Caenorhabditis elegans: one gene and its partners. The protein of the gene in region 3 interacts with the protein of the main gene of each other region in a pairwise test. Each region holds a gene or a part of one and is shown on either strand. Other genes may lie near its edges.

The links.
Region 1: the proteins of zip-7 (region 3) and nhr-67 interact in a two-hybrid assay, tested with the Caenorhabditis elegans proteins (one large-scale study listed by BioGRID).
Region 2: the proteins of zip-7 (region 3) and znf-782 interact in a two-hybrid assay, tested with the Caenorhabditis elegans proteins (one large-scale study listed by BioGRID).

Annotation. Positions count from the first base shown.
Region 1 is NC_003282.8:11,167,230-11,176,602, reverse strand, and holds nhr-67 (Nuclear hormone receptor family member nhr-67), read right to left. Parts: upstream 6,856-9,373; 5' UTR 6,770-6,855; coding exon 6,733-6,769; intron 5,443-6,732; coding exon 5,342-5,442; intron 4,727-5,341; coding exon 4,629-4,726; intron 4,532-4,628; coding exon 4,402-4,531; intron 4,194-4,401; exon of another isoform or gene 4,064-4,193; intron 3,455-4,063; coding exon 3,185-3,454; intron 3,135-3,184; coding exon 2,965-3,134; intron 2,554-2,964; coding exon 2,278-2,553; intron 2,230-2,277; coding exon 2,061-2,229; 3' UTR 1,812-2,060; downstream 1-1,811. UniProt on the Caenorhabditis elegans protein: Orphan nuclear receptor that binds DNA containing an extended core motif half-site sequence 5'-AAGTCA-3'.
Region 2 is NC_003282.8:1,063,215-1,069,746, reverse strand, and holds the start of znf-782 (C2H2-type domain-containing protein), read left to right. Parts: upstream 1-2,221; 5' UTR 2,222-2,265; intron 2,266-6,532.
Region 3 is NC_003282.8:16,501,860-16,508,669, forward strand, and holds zip-7 (BZIP domain-containing protein), read right to left. Parts: upstream 3,824-6,810; 5' UTR 3,811-3,823; coding exon 3,694-3,810; intron 3,591-3,693; coding exon 3,396-3,590; intron 2,379-3,395; coding exon 2,271-2,378; intron 1,732-2,270; coding exon 1,594-1,731; 3' UTR 1,051-1,593; downstream 1-1,050. Other genes in the region: Y51H4A.935 (uncharacterized protein), read right to left, coding at 4,761-4,796, 5,103-5,237, 5,293-5,304.

The sequences.
Region 1 (9,373 bases), 5.3 Mb from region 3:
GTTTTAAAGGTAGAGTTGCGTCTGGGAATTTTTTTTAATTAACTAGATGAAAACATATATTCAATGAAAGATGTTGTATTATTTCAATTTTTTGAATATCAATGAACCTCTCAAAGGTTAAGTAGCCGCCAAACTTTATATTCAAATGGTTAAAAAAATTGGTTGGTTACCAAAATTATGATAAGTGAAAACAATAATTGTCACTTTTAGAAAGTAAATAGAAAAAAGTTTCGTATTTTTTAAATGTGATATTTGACGAATTTGGCATCAGTTACGATACTCTAACTTCAAAAGACTAGTCTGAAACAGTATGAAACATCAAAGTTGAAGAAAACCCAGTGGAACCTGAAGTTAACAAGAATTGAGGAAGTGTCATCAGTTGGTAGGTATCACAATCAGATTCTTTCAAAAGAATTGAATTAGAATGAACATGACAAGAAACGCGAAAAAAAATAAGAATGTGATTACACACATACAGAAAGAAAATGAAGAAACTGAGAAGGAGAAAGGAATGAAAAAAGAGACAGGCTTTTTGTGATTTCATGTTTCCCCATCTAACCACATTCTCCTCATTCTCTGGTGTTAATTAGCTGCGAAACGAATACGGTTTCGTGATGGTTTCGCTTTTTTTTATTTCAACAAAAATGGGTATATCTATAGAACTTTCTTCTTCAAGTTAATTGGAGGAAAAGGCAATAAATCAGATGTAAATGTTTGGAAATGCCACAGATGATTAGTAAAAGTGAACACTTGGTCTAATAAGAAGTGTCTATTTGCAGATGTTGGGTATATCTTTAAAATTTCATAAAATAGGTAAAATCATTATTTAAACAGATTTTTTTCCATAGTTCCACTGTTGTGATTGTAAAACATTACTATACTTTGACTACACATTTCTCTGTTCGTTGCACAATATTTAAAGTTGTTTTTAAGTTTAATTTAGTTCAATATTTAAAGAATCTTTAATTTCAAAACTATAAAAAATATGTGTCAGTTGAAAAATTTTGATAACTGGTAAAATTGAGCAAAACTGTTTTACATATAAAAATGGTTTCTTTAGAAATCGTTTTTAAAAGTAAAATGCCCATGCCCAAATATTATGGTAAAACTTTTAAAATTTTTTTGAAATAAATATTTTACTGACAGTCAAAAATTAGTGAAGCCTACGCCTATAATTTTGAAAGTCTTTGAAAAAATATCTACAATTTTTTATTGTTTACTTGCTTTTCAATTTTTGTATTCAAACAGTCTGGGAGTTCGAAAAAGCAATTACTGAAAATATTCCATGTTTTTTGAAAATTGCAAATAGATACCGAAACTTTGACTAAAAACTTTGAAAAATCTTAACCATGTTGGTTATTTTTCGGATGTTCTGGATGTTCAAAAATGAGTTTAAAGCATTTTCTTTATAATATTGGTTGTTGTTCTGTTAGTTTAAAACTTTAAATTAGTCAATAAATCTCAATAAAAAATATTCTAGCATAATCAGGTTTATCTACAAAAACGTAACGCGTTCAAACTATTGACAAAACCATAAACAAATCATTAAAAAGGGGGAAATCAGTCAGCTAATGATTTGGTCATCTAGTTGAATGGGAATATCAGAATGATATGGATATGATAAGAAACGAGGCCATTAACAAGGAAAACGACGATGACACAATATGACATTCAACCGTTCCATTTTCCAATAAATCTCTCGGTTTCTCTCCCATCATTTATTGATTTCTATTGTTTTTTATGTTTCGAATCATATGTAGTCTTCTCAAAACTGTATGATTCACCTTTTTTTAATGATGTTTGTATGCCAATTGCCATTGTTGTAAACGTTTTATTCATCTGTTCACAATATAAATCAGAAAATAATAAATTAGTTTTAAAGCTTACCATTTTTTTTCTCTAAATTTAAATTAAAAATTTACAATTGAAAAATGAAATTTTGAAAGTATAAATCAAAATCCAATGAAAATCCGGGCGAGGCAAGAAACGGAGTGAAAAAGACAATGAAAAGAGATACTTAGAATAATTGAGTTACTGTATATGAAACATGAATTTACTATCTAAACCTCTTCAACATTAACACTCTCTTCTTCTTGAATTGATAATAATTCAGTTATTGATCGAATCGAATGACGTGGTCTTGAAGAGGAAGGGGATGATGCCGATGAAGGCTGAGTTGAGGAATTAAGAGCCAAGAAAAGTTGAACGGGATCCAGTTCTCCGACAGATCTGCAACAGACTCAGTTAATCCACTGTACTAATAAATGCTCATCATACCTATCATCAGTAGAAGAATTTTCATCAAATTGATTGCTACTCGTCGCATCATCCTCTTCTTCAATATCTTCACCCTCTTCAGTTTCGGTTTTTTCTTGTTTTAATAGAAAGTTCAAATTGAAGTTTGCCATTGGAAACAGTGACGTAGGAGTGGGTTGTTGTGGTGGCTTGAACATGTCTTGAATAAGTCTTGGCATTGAAGCTGATCCAATTGAAGGGCGGAATAGAACATCAATTATTGAAGTTGTTGGAATAGCGGCAATTGCATTTATACATCTGAAATAGGTTTCAGACTGTGAAGTTTTCAGAAGGAAAGATGGTACTAGAGCGTTTAGTTTTCATTAGTTTTCAATAATCAATTTCGCTTTTTAAGCAAATAGGAAATAATTTGCATTTTTTGTGAGAACAAAAAACACTGCTTTTTTAATTGTGGAATTTTTTATATTTTGAGCCGAAAAATGAACTTTTGAATAGGATAATCGTACAAAAACTATAAATGAACTTTTTCAATTGGTTAATTAATTAATTTTAAAAAAGAATTAGCAACCTTCAAACTAGCAAATACAATATTTAATTAACTTTGATCGTTGCAACCCACTCAGAAAAACAGCGTTTACCTTTATAGTGAAGTCTCACATTATTCCAAAAATAAGAAAATTGAAAAAAAAAATAAAAAAAGGAACTTACTGGATATATCTCGTCGGTTCGGTTCTATGTGTGAAATTCTGAATAGATGCTAACTGAAAGACAATTTGAATTGCACTTGGTGTATCTCTCCACATTGTGAAATGTTTCAACATCATGTATTCTCTATTATCCAATTGTAAACGTTCAATTATTTCAAACGCGTTAGCAACCTGAACATTCATTAATTTTTCAAAATATTCAGATTCATATTACTGCATACCGCATTTCTTTGCTCTGAGCTACCGGATATCGTCTCAGTCCTTATTTGCTTAGAAGTTATGGCACGTGTTTCAGTTGCATGGAGAACAAGAAGTGCTGCCCAATTTTGTTGAAACATTGTCATTTGCCGTTCTTTAGGTACTCCATTCAAAGGATTCTGACAAAATCCAACAAGTGCAAAAAAGATTCGAGCAGCAGTACCGGCCACTGTGTCACGATTCATTGATGATGTCGGAAGAATTATTGCATCACTTTCTGATCCCATTTCCGGCTGAAATGAAGGAAAATTAAAATCATCTACTTAATAATATTAACTTTTTCACTGAAAGTTAATTATAGAAATTTTAGACATAATTTCCTCTTGTATACGATATTTGCTAATTCTTCCAATCAGCTGTCCCTAACAAGTACTTATGCAACATAATCATTTGACACTATGTTGTCCCCACTTAAGATCCATAAGAGCACAATATTATTGAGTAATTTGTATCCGAATACAAATAGAAACATTAAAACATCTGCCCCAGAATACACATATATTCACAAGTTTTTGAAACTGGCTGATTTTTCAAGGTGCTCTTTTTTAAAGAATCTGTCACGGTTTTGGCACGTATTTGGTGTTTAACTGATAATTAGAGGATATTTTTTTGAAATTTGACGTTTTGAGAAAAACGTACCACAAAAAAATTAAAATGTTTTGTTTAATTCTTCGATAATTGCCAATTCAAAAAATTGCCAACTTAACGAATACTCAGCACTTCCGGCAACAACCAAGTTACCGTGTTGTAGAAAATTGCAATTCATTGCAATCATATTTCTGACCATGCTCTATATCCTAGGTGTTCCCTTCGCCAGTAAAATGTTTGACTATGTTCAAGAGTGACAAATCACCTGTCAGGTGGTACTGTAGATTTGTACAGCAACCGACAACTTTTCACCTTTTTTACTTTTCGTCGCCGCCGCGTCGGTGTCAACTCGACCAAAATCCACCTGCGGATTACTGTACTAATTCTACTCAAAATCCTTTTTTCACTTCACTTTAGTCACTGATTTTTGTGAGTGAGAAAGAGAAAGATCGGTAATCATGAGATTTAAATGGAACTATTTTGAAAGTCATTATGAATTCAAAACTAAATTAGAATCGATAAATTTAATTAAAATTATTAAATATTTTGTCCTTGTAACATATCCGAATTTAAGATTCCCACAAACACATACCGAATTAGGAGAGGATCCATGATCGAACATCATCTGTTGTCGTCTTAAACTTGAGTTACGAGGCCCTCTCTCATGTTGGACAGCATCTTTGTTCATCCCAATTTCCAGACACTTTCTTAGTCGGCAAGCTCTGAAATTCTCCAAGTGTCATCAATCAATGTATGGACTCGAACGTAAAGAGCATAAAAGGGGATCGTAACACTAATCTGTGACCGTTAAGAACTCACCTGCACTGGTTGCGGTGTGTTTTGTCCACTTTGCATTGTCCTTCGGATGGACTGCCTTTGTTTTTGCACACGTATTGACGATGACGACGGATTGAACGCTGAAATTTGGAATTGTTGTTCAATTTCAATGATAATTATGCTAAGGAAATTTGAAAGTCAATTCACATTGAAAAAATATTTCATGAGGTCTCAAATCCTAGACATACATTATAATCGGAGCAGAACAAAGTTAATGTTGCAAAATGATTGTAGACATTTTTTGTTGAAGATTAACACATTTTTATCTATCCGGAAATTCAATAATATAACAATTAGTTTCAGCAAAAATTAGTACCTTGTCTAACCAAGGTGTGCGCTTTTAAAACGTACTGTAGTTCAATAAATTTGTTTCTGTCGAATTTTGGATGGTTTTTCGATAAAAATATATGTTTTTTAATAAAATTCAGATGTAACACATACATTTTTAATAAATCAGGAGAAAAATTCGGCAGAAACGAGAGTACATAATTACAGTACAGTTTAAAGGCACATACCTTTTCCCGTTTAATAAAAAAAATTCACATCGAGACCGGTTACCGTATTTTTAGAGCAAAAATGGGAAACTTTCGCGTCTAGATAATACTTTTTTAAAAATTTTCCACTAAAATTTACTCTCAAATTCGAATATTTTAAGCTATCTAAAAAATGAGAGCTCAATAAACATTAAAACTTACTTTAAAGAATCCAGCACACCCGTCGCAGGAAAAAATACTGTAATGCTTCCCCGACGAATGATCTTCACAGACTCTACAATCAACATCCAATAGAATTCGACCTGAAGAAATAATCATTTTTAGGTGTGAAATAGAATGAGGAAATCAAGAAAGCCAAGAAGGAGAGACTCCAATTATTCAGCACTTCCTGTGTCTCTTGCCTGCCTAATTAATAGAATATGAAAAGAGAATGAAGGCAGAATGGAAATGGATTTGTTGAAAGAAAAAGGCAAGAAGTGAACAATATTTCAAATTGAGTTTCTACTTCTTGGATATTGAGTATTAGTTTTGATGTTGTTCGTATGACTTTAAAAAATTAATTTTATTTAACATCATGACCTTTCAAATCAATTCTAGTTCTAGCTAAATGGTGCTAAATCCACAGGTGCCACGTGTCACAATTGACCCGAAACACCTGCATCTCCCACAGAAACTCTTCCATTCTTGTACTAATTCCATCACCTAACTCATAATTCACACCTAATCATTTCTACCATAATATTGAGTCACTATGTTTAATGACTTCCTATTTTACTTATTGGAGTTCTCGTGCCGGGGAGATTAGGAAAAAAAAAGGAATTTTTATGAAAGTTTTATGTGACTTTTTAGTTCTGAAATCAGGGTTCTGAAATAATGTCTTAATTTTTCAGTTAGAAATTTTTTCTCACACTGAAATTGATATGCATTCAAATTATGATATTCACATTAGACATTTCTTCATTTTCTTTCTTCATTCACACAAACTAGTTTAGGTACAACTACAGTAACCCATCTGCACTAAGGCTTCTAGAACTCATATATAAAGATACATGGATTTACTGTAGTTTGTATATTAATGGATTTATCCCATGGAAGAAGTCAAGGTTCAGATTTTGTTAAATTTGAAGACAATGGGTAGTAAAAAAATATTTAAAAAAAAACAGGAGTATTTCATAGGGTTTTCAAAATTTTGTGAAGGTATCAAAATCCTATACGTATGTATCTTGCCAAAAAAGCTCCCACTTTTTTTTTCGATATTATGCACTTCCAAACCCATTTTTAGGAAATTCTTCCCTAAATATTTCAAATTAATAATAATCTACTCTGAAATTGAAATTAAAATGAGAAAATAACAATTTTATGTGGCTAAGAATGTGAAGTATGCCCACCGGGCAACTCATCCTACGTTTATTAATTGCTCAAGATCCCAATTTTAAAATCTGAGTTTCTTTTGAAGTTGGGAATTGGAAAAAAGCTTTCTACAGCTAAAGCCTGGAAGTTTAAGAAAGCTCATTTTTCCAAGAAAGTTCGAAGTAGAAGTTTTCATCTTCTGATTCTAGATGTTGACGATTAACTTTTTAAAATTGACTTACTGCTTGGAACCGACATCTGTGAAACCGCAGTCATCATTCTTGGCGCCAGATTCATTAATTCAAGAATTCCGGAATATTGAGCACACAGATTCCCAAAAGACAAATTCTCTCTTCTTAAGGCGAGAGTGAGAGGCAGTCGGAAAGGCGAAGGCGAGTCACGTCGTCAAATCATGGGCGGAGCTAGCGACCACCACTGACAGCCGACGGAGAGAAAGCGAAGAGAAACGACTCTGAGGGATACTGTAGACGATGCAATAAGCCACGCCCTGATTGATTTTGAGAGTTTTTCTAGTGTACTGTTTTTCAAATATTCAATTTTTTGTTTTCATAGTATCCAGGTGAATGCCAAATTATTCAATTGAGTGGTAGTTTTATGTTAATAGCTCAAGTAACATTGTTCAGAGTACAGAAAATCTAACTGAGGTGCTCTTGTAGTTGAAATGTTTAACTTATTTTGGAAAACTATAAATCTGAAAACCTAGACCACTGTAAACTTTACTAGTGTGTGAAGTTTTCAAGCAACCACTATGATTGACCACACTCTACTCATCTTTTAATTTAACTTTAACTCGGAGTTTTCAATTTTTATTTAATTTCAATACATTTTATCTGCAGTTTGACTTGAACAAATTTTGAAACTTTCTCAATTAAGAAGTGGTTCTTTTCTGGGATTCTGGTTTTTTCGGAAAACAGTTCTGTATCCTTGGTCATGTTATTATATTTGCCCTATATAGTCAATATTACTCTTGAAAACTCCCTTCCTGTCGGATCCTTTTATTGCTCACGGAGCATCCACCTCATCCCAAAAACTTTGTTCTCTTTTCATCCCGCGCACAATCACCACACACTTCTTGCCGTTGTTGCTCCCATTCTTCAGAATGCCTCCTCAAATCTTTTTGGAGGCACAAGTTGAAGGAGTTTTGGAAGACTCAAAAGAGCTCAAAAGACCCGACGACATCCCTGAGAATACTTGACCATTCATTGTCATCAGTAAAGACTTTATGATGAAAAGAATTGGAGCAAAAGTTTTGAGCAGAGGAATGGTAGTTTTGCCGCAAAAAGTTAGATGGAGTCTGGGGTTCTATGTGAAATATGTAGTAGACTGTTTTGAGAGAAAACTTCAGGTCGTGTGAAAAATTAAATATAAATATTATTTTAGGGAAACTCTAGGTTCCAGACTTGCTTGAACCACAAACGTAAAACTGACGAATTTCAAGCTGTATTTTTTACAAACTTCATTTTCAACTTTATTTTTTATATATCAGTATCAGGCATATAGTTCTCTCTCGGAGAGCCAGAACAAAATCGAACCAAAAAACCAATATCCCTTGATTCATTAAAATTTTAATTTTCTTTGAAGTTAGTTGCTGAAAACTTTAACATTGTAACACCGATTGTAAATTCTTAGATTCGTTATTTAATGTTCTACCCCTCTTGTTCTTCAGTAGGTTGTCACAACCAATTCAGTGTAGTCTATAGTATTAGGTTTCTAAGCAAAAAAAAAAACAGTAAAATATTTTTCCAGCTGCCAGGCTCATGGTATTTTAGAACCTAATAAAATTCTTCAAATGCTCATCATATAAATTGAACTCTCTGTGGCTTGTACCACAGGGTACGAACATGACCTCCATTTCATTTTAGTGGTGAACACCTGCATTTCATTTTGATGCTTACGCAATCAAAAATACTTTTTTTTCTCGATTTTACCCAAGAGTAAGACAATGTGTTGGGATTTTACGCAATATCGAGAACGATGCAGGAAAAGGTCGTTGAAGAGAGATAGACAGACGAGGGTCATACAGGTGTGAACTTTTGGAAAACTTAGCGAAATGGTGGGGGGGGGGGGGGGGGGAAGTAAAATGAATAGATCTTCCAATGTTACATTGGATTGTAAATTATTTATCACAATCATGTTTCCGTATAGTATTGCATCCCATCGCTCTATGTACTTGGACAGCTTATGTTTCAGTTGTCTTTTGAGTTGGTAAAAAGTTATCAACTGACAAAACAATTTATATTTTTTCTATAGTGCTTCAATCAGACTTGTGAACAATTTTTCATCACGTAGGCATTAACTTCTCTCGTTGGGAGGCGAATTTTGTGGAATCCCTAGTATTCACAGAATTTCAAAATCCGTAGGAAACAGAACGTTCCGCTTCAAGGCGCACAAAAACTTGATAGCATACGGAAACCGCTTCATTTCTATTTTCAATTTCTAATTATAGTTTCACTGAATCAATTAATCGAACTTCTGACAGAAACTTTCCAACTTTAAATTGTTTGAAATGTACCTGGAATTAAACACGGACTAGAAAATGGGATGATCATCTTATTGTTCAATTCTATGAACCGGAATTCTTTAAAAACTATTAGGTTTCATCCATTTCAAGCCGACAAGAGCTCCCCACAGACTGTTCATCACATTGTTCCCTCTAATCTTCTTCCCACGTTTTGCGCTAAAGTTTTGTCACACCATATGTCGGCTATTTGTTGTTTATAGGTAAGTGGTGTCATAGCCAAAGGCATATAATATGAAGGATATAATAAGCGGAAGCTATTCTCATTCTCTCTTTCATTCAGAGCGGCGTTAGATTTCGCGCATGCACCGCCCGTGTCACACATACCTCGAAAGCCCCCACAC
Region 2 (6,532 bases), about 15 Mb from region 3:
CCAAGGTCCCAAGCAACCCCTACCCCCCCCCCCCCCCCCCGCTCCTAGTTTTTTTCCTCATTTTTCTGCCAGCCTAGTCTCTGCTAGGCAGGCGGAGCCAGTGTGCCGGTCGGTGCCAGCGCGGTGCGACGCGGAACGACAACAACAACAGAAGTTTCTAGTATTAGTCGTAGTAGTACTAGTTGGTCGACTGGAAAAGTACCTTGAGGTGTCAGAATTGCAGAGAGCCAAAGGTTGGCCTCAGGTCTAGGCTTAGGCTCAGGCTTAGGCTTAGTCTAAGGATTAGGCTTAGGCTTAGGCTTAGGCTTAGGCTGAGCAGGGGACAAAAAGAGAGCAAAAAGAAATCCCCAGAAAATTCAATAATTCTGAAAAAAACCTGACCTTTTCGACCGGTTTTTGGGCTTTTGGACTTAGAAGGCCTACACAAGATTTTTCTAATGCTCAAGTGTATGAAAATCGAACTAGCGTTTTTGATGCCTCGGTGCTTATCACCTTAGAATTCCTATGCCCGTGGGCTTTGTTTTTTTTTTGAATTTCTCAAGTTTGGAACTGAATGAAGCAATGCTTTTGCACCCCCGTTTCCCTTGCTTACTCGGTTCCCTGGTTCCTTGCACGATCCCAGACCACTTTTGGCTCCCCGGTTCCCAGGCCCCCCTTAGCCCCGCTGGTCCCGTACTCCTTCCGCTCCCTGCTTGTTCTCCGCGTCTCTGCCGCTGCCGCTGCCGCGTCGTCGTCATTTTCCAGGCAAAAACATATGAAAAGAGCCATGGGTGGCTCCAGGTGGTGACCCAGCACCGTGTATTTGTGTGTGTATTTCTCGATGCTTGCAGCAGCAGCAGCAGCAGGAAAAAAGAGTGAAATAGTGTGGGGGAGGTGTGGCAGCATGTGAATCATGGATAGATGGGGGGGGGGGGGGGAGGTTTTGTAAAGAAGACAGAAGAAAAAAGTAGAGAACATACAAATACAGAAAGATATGAAAAAAGTTTTTTAGTATGGTACTTTATATTTGGTAAAAATTCGAATAAATATTGGTCCTTCTTCAAGGATCCTTTGGCCAAACTTGGGGTCTAAGCTTAGGCTGAGGTTTGAGCTCAGGCTTGAGCTTAGGCTGAAGCTTAGGCTTGGGCTTACTTATTGAAACCCTATGAGATAAAATCCGGGTCCTAGGCCCAAATTAAGCCTATTCTGCCAGACGAAAGACCCATGGTTCTTAAGTTCCCATTGAGACCAGATCGGCCAATATTCAAGGGCCTCTTTTTGAAACTCTTTGAGATAAAATAAGGGTCCTAGATCAGGATTAGCGTGGCTAAAAATAAAGTACTTAGAGCCCTGTTTGTAAGCCTTCCAGCCTAAGTATGACCTGCAAGATTAGGGCTTTCATAGACCAAATCAAACTTTCAGACCGAAATTCAAGTCCCTATGCCTTTTTTGATACTCTTTATGATAAAATTTTGGTCCTAGATCAGAATTAGGGTTTCTAGGCTTTTTTTGCCAGACTAAACAGGTAGGAAACGTAACTCAACACTTGGACCATTTAGGTTATTTTTGGGGTATTGTGGCCCTTTTTGCTTCATAACTCCTTTTTGGGCCAAAACTAGAGTCTCTAGAACCCTGTTTGTAACCCTTTCGGGAAAAGTTATGGCCTGGCCAAGACTGGCCAATATCAATGCCTTTACAGCCCAAATCAAACGTTCAGACCAAAATTCCAGTCCCTAGACCGATCACCTTTTAGTCCGTAATTTGGCTCCCTACCTATAAAAAGTATAAACATGCCAAAATTAGGTTGCAAAAAAGACCCAGTCTATGATTTTTGGCATTTTAGACTCCGTTAGGCTGAAATATAGCTCAGGATCCTAACACTTAGACCTTTTTGACCTAAATATAGATTTCTCAATTCAGAATTTCAGTTTTTAGACCTCCTAGACCTATTTGAGAGAATTCTCAAAAATTGTGCGATTTCCCATACCCTTATCAATTTTGTGTTGTTTGGTGGTTTGTTGCTCCTTCCTTCTTCTTCTTCTTCTTTTTTGAATGTCATTTTTTCAACCACTGGTCATTCTTTTTCCCACACTCTGCGTCTCTAAGTGGCCAGCGGGGGGGCGCCCCGACGTGCCAGTCGACACCAGGAGGGGCGCGCGGAACGAGCCGATAGAGCGTGCGAGACGAAGAGACGCAGGCATTTTTCCGCAGTGCTCGTCGCGTCGCATCATGCCGCTTCCGCACTCCGCCGCGCGCGAGGACTCTTCGAGAAAAAGACGAAAAAACGTGAGTGAGTTTGGCCTATCTGGAGCTCTCTAGAAATTTCTGGGACCTGTCTAGGCTTGGACCCATCTAGGGTTGGGTTTGGGCCCTTTTTTATCAGTTTTCAAGTGCAACATTGAATTTCAAACGACACTCCGTTATCCCTCTAGTGCTTGATGTTTAGCCAATTTAACTTGAAGTTTTTTTTTAAAGAAAAAGTTCCAAATTTCGGGCCAACTCCCTCTAATCACAGATTAAATTATGAATTTAAAATTTATCAGCTTTGCACCACCGACCACCAAAACAAAATCGATTTCACCACTAGAAGCCTTCAAGTTTTGAAATTTACTAGTTTCTAACGACACTCCGCTATCCCCTAGCGCGCTCTGTTTATCCAATAATTTTTGGTGGGAATTTGAAATTTTACATGACTTTTTTGTGCATTATTACCAGCTTTTTTGCACAAAAAAAAAAGAGAACTTGCAATTTTTCAAACTTTCAAACGACGCTCCGCTATCCCACCAATCGCGCCCTGTTTATCCAGTAAGTTGTCTATTGGTAATAAATGTTTTATTCATTATTCTATACATTTGTAGTTGATATGTAACTAATATCGCTAAAATAAACCAAAATAAAAACATGGTGCATCGATAAGTTTTGCAAACTTAACTTTACCAGCTCTATATCTAAATTGTCTCTGGGTTTATAAAATAATTATCAACTGACAAAATATTGCTCACCTCTTTTTCTACATTAACCCGTGGAAAAAATTACAAATAGCATAAAAAGCCGAGATATTGGCTTGCCTAACATAGTTTGCCCAAAAAAAAACTCGACAAAAGTGACCAGTTTTCTCTGAAACAATGACCTGGTCATTTGAACTGGTTTCTCACCATCCCGTCACTCTTTCAATTGTCTACTTCTGTGTTTGGTTTTTTTTTGGGAGGTTGTTTTCATTTGTTGTTATATGGGAGAGAGAGAGTGAGGCTATTGTTTTATCTTGGGACTCCTCCTCTCGGAACTTTTTAATAATTGTTTCATTCTTCATAATTCCTTACATATTTTGGCTGGTTTTGGTTTTATCGGAATTTTTTTTTTTAAATTAACACTTCTTAGATAGAGTCTGTCGAAGAAAAGTTCTGAACATGGTGCATCGAGGCCATATTTCGGTTACGTTTAGTTAAGCTGTTTTTCATAATTTTTTCTACATTGATTTCATATGACTCAACTTTGAAGTGTAGGGCTCCTATGTAGGCGATAAAACGCCTACCTGCCTGGCCTTCAGGCGATCTCCGCCTGCCTCAATACTTATGCTAAATCATACGTGTTTTTTTTTTCTTTTTTTTTTAATTTGAAAATCATCAGTGTAAATACACCTAAAATGCATAAAAGGGGAAAAAGCAGGCAGGTTTCAGGCAGGCTTCAGGCCCCGCGCCTGCCTAAAATCTAGTCCATGCACCATGATCTGAAATCACTATCAACCCAGTTTTCAAAGGTCCTATCCACATTTTCCACCAATCCCGTTAATCCGTACTACATGTAGGTCAAACACATGGTTTTTGAAATCCAACTAGATATAGCCATAAATGTTTGTATGTGGTCAAAGTTTCTCTCTCATTTTTCCAACAAAAAAAGAACGCACACACACACATATGTTTGTATGTGGTGTCTACCTATTATTATCTATGGTTGGACGGGCATCATCATGTCACCGGCAGGCACCCATAGCTCCGTGCCAGGCCGCTTGCCGCCGCGCCGGCAGGCATGCGGTCACGCGGAATGGGTTACGAGGGGGTAACCTGATACCACGAGTTGGGGTGACCAGGGTATGTGATAAGGTAAAAGGTTACGTATTTGAGTATTTGAAAATAAAAGGTTAGTGATTTTGAATGGGAAATAGGAAACTTTGTGAAATTTAAAAAAACATGGTGCATCGACTGAAAATCCTTCGTCAGCTTTTTGACGTCTTGTATTTCAGTTGTGTTTGGTGTTATCAAAACATTGTCTAGTGACAAAATGTTTATTATAACCTTTTCTATAATAATGTAGTTTAACAATTTTTGATATCTCTTTAAAAAACCAAGATATGATCATTCAAAGTAAAATGCCAAGCACAACTTCATTGGTTCAAATCTTGGTTGTTTTTGGTTCAAAAATTGGCAACAGACAAAACATTTCTTATATCTTTCTCTATAGTTCTATTTTTAAACATTTTTTGATATCAGTAAAAGTAATCGAGATATAAGCTGTCAAAGTTAATCGGCAAAACATGGTGCATCAACTGTTACAGTGATCGTACCCCTATCGTAATTTTTCTGTAATTCTACAGTAGCCCTACAGTAATACTACAGTAGCCCTACCGTAATTTTTTTGTATTTCTACAGTAGCCCTACATTAATACTACAGTAATCCTACAATACCCCTCTAAAACCTCAAAGTTTTCATGTAGTAACTGAACCCCTCCAGGTGCAAAAATTGCTGCCAGGTGCAAAATTTCACGAGGTGTTCGGAAAAGTTTAGACTCCTTAAATGCTAAAAATCTTTTTGGACCCTTGGATTCTTTCACCTCTCCTCATACTAATATCCTACTCTTTCAAGACTACTAGTCCCTAGTCACCAAAACATAAATGACGAATTCCTACGTGCGTTCTTTTGCTCCTTTTGCTCCGCGCGGAGCCCACCGAACGCCGGAGCCAAAACAATTATTATATGCCGTGTGTGTGTGTTGTGTGTGTTCCGCGCGGATAAGAAGAAGACGCAGTTGAGAAGAAGCGTGCCAGTCGCCGTGTTTGTTTTGGCGCAGCGTCGTCGACGGGGTGGTCTTGAAGAGCGGCGAGGAGGCGCCTGGTACCAGTAGTCGGGGTGGGGTGGGTGAGGGCTAGGGCATCAGAGAAACCAGACGTTTTTTTTGTTCGCATGCTTCTTCTCCGCTGTGTGTTGTTGTGCTGCTGCCACCTCGAACGTCGGAACATCATGGCACTGCCTACCGCGTCGGCCGCCGCCCGGGAAAAAGAGAAACACACAACACACAACACCCTTCGAGGAGTTCAGTTTCTAGATCAGCTGACACAGAGTTGTCAACAAAAACAGAGAGCATCATCACAGAGACTGGCACCGCTGCTGCAGCTGACCACTGGGGCGGACGCCTAGGTCATTGTGCTCTGGAACTACCTAGTTGCTTCCCTGAAGTTTGAAATGCATAGGTGTTCAATAATCTTACTGTAATGCTATAGTCCGTGACTCCTCTATACGTCTTGTTCATTCATGTCGATGCACCATGTCTTCCTTCCAACTTTGACTTCTCATATCTTAGCCCAGATTGTAGATATCTTTAAATTTCTAAGTATCAAATCATAGCCAAGAATATAATACACATTTTGTTAGTTGACAACTTTTTTATAAAACCAAAGGTAGCCGAGATATAAGTTGTCAAGCATACCGACGATTCACCATGTCTCCCGTTTTTTTGACAACCGATATCTTGGTTCACATTAAAAATATCAAGAAGTGTTCAACTACGGAACTTAAGACACTATACTTGATAAATATTTTGTTAATTGATAACTTTTTGATAACACGAAACATAGCCGAGATATGAGATATCAAGGCTATGGTCGATGCACCATGTCTTCCACTTTTTTACTGCCAACTTTTTTCTCTTTTATTTTGCATCATATCTCAGTTGCCTTTAATCTTATCAAACCTTTTTCCACTGACAAAATACTTCTCATCTTCTTTACTCCAACTTTGCTGTTGAAAATTTCTTGATAACTTTTTACCGAACCAAGATAAAAGCTGTGAAAGTAGGTCTGCATGACATGGTGCATCGACTAGAAAAACTGCGATCTTTGACTGCTCATATCTCTGTTGCCTTTGATTGTATTGAAAAGTTGTTCACTGACAAAATATGTGTTATTCCTTTTTCTACAACTTTACAGTTACAACTTTTTTGATACTTTTTTTTTTGAAACAACATTTTTTGAAACAGAGATATGAGTTTTCAAAGTAGAGCAGCATTTTGATATAAAATAGGCCGGTTTCCAAAAAGCCAGATTCGATTCCCCAGTGTGGCATTTTTTTTTTTGATTTTTTTGTGATATGAAAATATGCTTCAAACTAAAATCTACTTATAATCAGGCTTATAAGTCAGAAACAGAAACAAAAATATTTGACCACAACGGGGATTGAACCTTGGTCCTGTGTGCCTAGGTTCATCAAAAAACCCACTGCGCCATTTGGCCAAACATCTAACTTTGCCAATTTTCGTCGCATTTTCTTCATTTTTTCTGGT
Region 3 (6,810 bases):
AAACTTCTCTCGAAAAGTGATAATTTAGAACTCTCCTGATAAGCGAATAACGGACGGAGCTGATAAGCAGAAAATGGAAATAATAGGAAAAAAACAGGCGACCGCGCCGCACGGAGACAGACGCGTTGCGGTCAAGCCGCGGCTCCCATCCATTTTGCCATTCCATTGCATGTCGACTGCCCATAAATTTGAGCGAACAGACAGAGAGAGAGAAATAGAGAAAGAAATCGAGAGGGCGCCCGTTTTCTCTGCGTCTCCACACGTTTTCCAGCTTAAAAATTGGTTTTTCTCGCTCGTAAATGCAGTGGAGAGAGCGAAATCCTTAATTTTCTCTTGTTTTCCGCTTAGTTTTATTGTTGAAATATTGTGGACGACGAGAAACACATTTTTCCATTTTTTTAAGGCTTTTTCGGCGGTTTTTACGAGAAAATCGGAGTCCGAAGCGAACGATTCTCACAAAAAGTGATCTGGAAACTAAAATTAACGGAAATCAATCAATTTTCTTCCTTTCCTGCTGAAAAATGCATTCTAAGCGCTGAAAAATCGGCGGAATTATGCAATTTTAGTGATTTTTAGATGTTTAGACCCGAAAAAATCATGAAAAAGCTATAGAAAAAATGAAAAAATGCAGAAAATCAGAGAAAACGAGCGAAAAATAATTTGAAAATGAGTTTTTCTGTGCAATTTGCCGTGACGGTGTTTGCACACGACGAAATCTACCGTACCCCCCGGGAAAATATTCAAAACTGGTTTTTCTTGGAATTTCGAGTTTTTTCGACTTTTTCCAGCATTTTGAACGAGTTTTTTGGGAAATTTAACGAGAAATTACTGAAAACGTTATATATTCCGTCGAAAAAGTAGTAAAAATCACTCAGGTGATGCTTTGCCGGGAAAATAATGGAAAAATCATTTTTCCGTCCAATTTTAGGGTACAATTAGCTGAAAAATTGAATTTCAGCATTAATTCTGGTCAAAAGCGGGAGGAAAATCCACGAATACCTCGGAAAATGAGCAAAATTCAGAAATTTCCGGGAAAAAGTCGAGTAAGCTGAAAAACTGTTTTATTATTAGAGAATTTGGATTTTAAAGTTGCTTTAGCTCGAAAATCAGCGAATTTAGCTTGAAAAACATGCCCAGAAAATGCCCAGAAAATCGGAGGAAAATGGGGAAAAATCTGAATACACCTATTTTCTGAGATTTTTCTCATTTTTTCGTGCGGAAAGTGTCAAATTACAGTCGGTACAGCTTCGAAGAGTGAAAAATCGACAAAATACAATCAAAAACTAACAAAAATTAAAGAAAAAACGCGAAAATTCGGAGAAATTAGCGAAAACTGAGCGAAAAATAATTTGAAAATGAGTTTTTCTGTGCATTCTGCCGTGACGGTGTTTGCAGACTCGGAATTGCTTACCGTAGTCGCTCATTTATTTTTTTTGAAAAAATGCATTTTTCTTCAAAAATAGCTATATTTTTACAGAAAATTACAAAAAAAAAGTGACGCAATGAGAGGGTGGTGTGTGGAAATTCGATACAGAAGCAAGGATTTGAATGTGTGTGCAAGAATGAGATGATTTTGTGTGGGAGGGGAGAAGCTTAATAACTCGGCATATTCGCCATGGCAATCGGGTCCATAGTGTCTATAGTGCCCGGATTTTGCAGGAGCAAATGTTGTCTCATCGATTCGTTTTGTAGTTGGAGCTGTTGGACGTAGACTCGCAAGCATTGATTTTCCTGGAGAAAAAATAATTATTAATTGATTGATAAAAATTTTATGCCGTCAGAACTAAGCCTTTTATCAGAGTTACTCTTTATTTTTAGTCCGAAAAAAAAGTAAAGTTAAACTTTAACGAAACAAAAAAGAAAAGCCACTCCCTGGAATTGATCCAACGAGTGCTCACACCGAACTGCGTCCACTACCTACTGCTCCAAACCAACAAATCTTTCCAACACCATTCTTGGTGAACATATCGAAAAGTGGAACACCATTAAGGGAACAAACGTTACTGTACGTGTGCACTAGAGCGCGTTTGCAAAACTATCAAAAAGTACTTTTAAAAGTGTCGGTTATCTACAAAAAGCCATCTGATATTCCCGAAATTTATTGAAAAATTGGGAAAAGTCGGCGTGGGCGCGTTCTCAAAGTTATTGCGTAGCCAGGCTGACACCTGTTGACTGATGACGTCATCAATTAAGCCCTTTTTTGGAAAAAAAAACCCGCCAAAAAAAATGATGCAAAGGATTATTATCTATGGGAAATTTTGAAAACGTACCCTCTCCAAATATGTTACACGAACACTATTGTCCTGATCGACTTTCTTGCGAGATTCTCTGGATTTACGGGCGGCTTCGTTGTTTCGGCGGCGCCGGTCGAGATAGGCCTGGAAAATTGGATTTATTCGAGAGGATTTTGGACTATTAGCTGTCGATTTACGGAGCTCGTGTACTCCTCGTGGAAGAGTTTACACTGGTTTTTTGAAGAAAAAAAAACGGCTGAAAAGCTTGATTTTGGCCAATTTTCACTGATTTTTGTTGGATTTTGATGGTAAATTGTCATTTTATGACATAATTTATAGTTTTTAACTCAAAAATTGCCGATTCAAACGTTAAATACAAGAAAAATCAGCAAAATTGGCATAAAAATACTTTTTTCAAACGAAAACCCAGAGAAATCAACTCCACGAGGAGTACACGGCCTCCGTAAATCGACACGTGGCTAGCTATTAATTCATACGACTTTTTAAATTCATACGACTTTTTAATTCATACGCCTTTTTAAGAAAAATACGGCTAAAAAACTTTATTTTGGATCTTTTTTGCTGATTTTTTTTGTATTTTACATTAAAATTGTCAACTTATCTCGATTTAAATGCAAAATACGAGAAAAATCAGCAAAATTGGTCCAAAATAACGTTTTTTCACTGAAAAATCAGAAAAAAACTCTATTTTCAGTTTAAAAAAATCAATTTTTCAACTTCGTGGCAGTGAAATTAGAGAAAAAACTCGGCCACCACTTTGAAAACCAGCGGAAATTAAAAAAAACAGTTCAATTTTCATAGCAGAACACGGTTTTCTGGCCTCATAAATTGAAATGGAAGAGTTTGCAGAACTAGGCCATTTTGGCTCGGCCATATCTGGGATAGATTTACGTCGCATTGCGTGTCGCGTCGCGGCTCGGATTTGTCCGTGTGGAGTACACGACACTCTCCCACTCGTTGTCCGGCGGGCGATTGTCAATGGAGCGCGAAACATTCAATGAGGAAAACCAGAACCCTGTGGCAGAAGGAATCCAGGAAACCTCGGCCGCCATTTTTTCTCGGCCACATCTAACACTAGCAGATCGGCCGTTTTTTTCTGGTGGCCGAGTTTTCTCATTTCTCGGCCATTTAATCTCTTACCTCATCCTTTTGATTTTCCGGCACCGGAACCGGTTTTTTCTTCTTACTCCCACTGCTGCCACTCTGCTGATTTTGAGACGACGTGGTGGATGACGTGGAAGACGATGACGGGGAAAAAGATGACGTGGCATGGGGATTCGCGTATGGCGCGAAATGTTGAGCAAAAAATGGGAGAGCAGTGGCTGCGGAGTAGTTCTAAGAAAAAAATTTAATTTTTTGTTAAAAAGCATTTTTGAAACAGTAAAAAAATTTTTTTACTTTTTCAAATTTCAGAAAAATTCCAAAAAAAATTACAAACCTTATCAAAAGCTCCTGCTCCATACGGATTCTGTGCGTACATCTGATTGAATGCCTTTATAGAATCCGAATCACACATTCTCGAGGCAGCCAGCTGCTGTTGAATGTCTGTCATCATCTGGAAATAATCTGGAAATTGGTGGAGAATTGGTGGAAAATGGCTAGAAATTTAGGAAAAAGCTTCCAAAGAACACAGTAATAAGTTGAAAAAAATTATAATAAAACAAATTTTTTTGAAACAGAATTTTTTTTAAATTTTCAAAACCAAAACCGTATTACTCAACAGTTACCAAACTATTACACCGGAACTTATGAGCTACCGCATGCTGAGAAAAAGTCTGCACGCAAACAGGACACCTCTACAGGCCCTACTAGACCCGCCTCCTCCCCCATTTGCCCACGGGGTCTCTAAAGACGGGCGGCTCTTTTTATGATGATTTGAACTGTAATGGCGCAATCGTTGCGTCGTTGTTCTCTAACTAACTAACTACCGTCTGCTGTTAGTTGAATAATGTACCGCAAAAGAGATTGGTGGTGGTCCTAAATGTATAACGAGGTGGCAATAGGTGGGCATGTCTTGGAGTTCCGTGGGGAAAACTGGGCATAACTTGAAAAGTGTAAGAGCTAATAAAAAGTTGTCAACCAACAAAATGTTTAAAATCAATTTTGCAATATTTTCATAGTTAAAATCTTTTTGATAACTTCAATAGCTAAGGAGATATAAGCCTTCAAACTTAAAAATCGGTAATTTTAGTTGGAGTTTTGCGCGAAAAACTACCATAACTGAAAAAGTATCGGAGCTAGTGAAAAGTTGCCAACTAAAAAAATGTTCAACATAAATTTATAAATATTTTCCCAGTTGACAACTTTTTGATAGCTACAATGGCTGAGGAGATACTACTTCTTCTGTAAAAAACGCTCGTACTTCAACTTGCTAACAATTTTCCCTTGTAAATTCCACTTGTTAAATGCTTCACATGAAACAGGCACCAATTCAAAAATTCAAAAATTAACACAAAAATCCCAATAAAACTGGTTTATTCAAGTGAAAAATGAGAATCCTGAAAATTATTGTGGCACGGCGAGCTCCTCGTAGTTGCCTTCCTGAAATCAGAATTGTTTCTTTAAAAGTAGGACCTTCCTCATTGCATTATTCGCGCTCTATTGACAATCGCCTGCCGGACAACGCGTGGGAAAGTGTCGTGTACTTCACACGGACAAATCCGAGCCGCGACGCGACACGCAACGCCCCGTAAATCTACTGAGCCAAAATGGCCTAGTTCGGCAAAACTCTTACATTTCAGAATAGGAGGGAAGGCAGAAACCTGTGGTACGTATCCCAAATCAGCAAAATTAATTAAACAATGCGTTGCGGTCGCGTTGCGGTCGCGTCGCGGTCACACAACTCACAGTTTCATCCTTCTTCTCCTTTGGAGCCCCTAACTTTGATTTATTTGTTCCTTCCGGAGAATTTGCTGACTTCTTCTTCTTTCCGCCACAATTCATCACCAGAGATCCGAAAATCACAAGAATTGGAAGCACGAGCTGTAAATTTCGGAGCATTTTTTGCAGGCAGGCAGGCAGGCAGGCTTAAACTGACTTGTGCAATCATTTGGCTTCTTCTTCGTTTCAGTGGAATGGAATTTTTAAACAAAATTCGAAACTGATTTTTTCGATTATTGATTTTTAGTTGGCGACTTTGAAAAAAAAACACGTTTTTTTTGAAAATTATTTCCCAGTTTCACGAAAAAATTAAAATTATTTTCAACATTTTTTTCCATTCAATACGTTTTCACGCGTTTCCCCCGATAATATTCAAATTTCCGTATGTCAGAATAGCGGTAAATTCAAAGAAATTACGCAAGTTTTTGGGGTATGTGTACTTGAACATACGCACACACAGATTATTGCGTTACCACATTAGGACCACGGGGGTATAATGAGTTGGGGGGTGTTGGCCTTGTGGCCGTGGAGGTGAAAAACCTCGGCCACTACCAACTTCTAATACGTCTATCTTGGTTCCGGATAAATTTGGAAAAAGTTGTCAACTGCGAATTTGTGGAAAATTTAATTTTCTATAATTTTGTGGTTAGCGATTTTTCAATAGCTTTTTTAGTTTTTAAGATATTTTTAAATTTTAAATTGACAATTAGAATAAGCTAAAAAACTATTTTTAGGAACCGGAATTTATTAAATATTTAAGAATTTTGAAAACTTGCATGCTTGCCAGAAAAACCGCGACGCGACCGCAACGCTTTGAAGCCCAATTTTGTTTTTCTATTGCACAGTAACTTTCCCGTCAATCCCGACTTTTACCCACTTCTGAAAAACCGCTACGCAACCGCAACGCACCTAAAGCTGACCACATTTTGGACTGAGAGAACGCAGAGAAGCTAGAGTACTCTCGTTTCTCTGCGCTCTCTATCTCTCTATATTTCTGCCACCCCCTGAAGTGTCATGCATTTTACAACTCAATTACCGATTTACAACTTCTCAGGTGCTTTGCGGTAATTCTTAAAGAATCTTATGGGATATGGAGAACAGTTGCCATGCCACTGATCGTTTTATTATCCGTCGGTACTTTTTTCCCAATTTTTACTGTTTCAGGTAGTTTCAAAATAATCGAATGGTATCTTTACATAATGTGTTGTGATTGAAATCTAAAAATCTTGTTAATCTCGTTATTATAAATTATTATTTTTCCCCAATTTTCCACTATTTCAGATAGTTTTTATACTTTTGAATGGAAAATCTTGTTATAATAGTGTTTTTTTTTTAATTCCAAAAACAATTTTCCGTTTCGAAGATGAAAATTTGGAGGCGAGAAACAATCAAATCAATCAAAATCAATAGAAATCAATAAGCTTTCGTTTTGCAATTTATAAAAACTTTTTTTATTTATTTCTACCAATTTTTACTAAATGTTTCAAGTAGCTGTGATATGTTAGAATGGAATTTGTGTGTATTCTTGATTCGTTAGTTTTTTTTTCAATCTGAAAATGTTGTGAACGAGTTTTAAAAATTAAAAATTACGAAAATTGGTATAAATTGCAAGAATGTATTTTTGAGGAATTATAGAATCATATCTAAAGTTTTCAAAAAGCATTCATGTAATTCT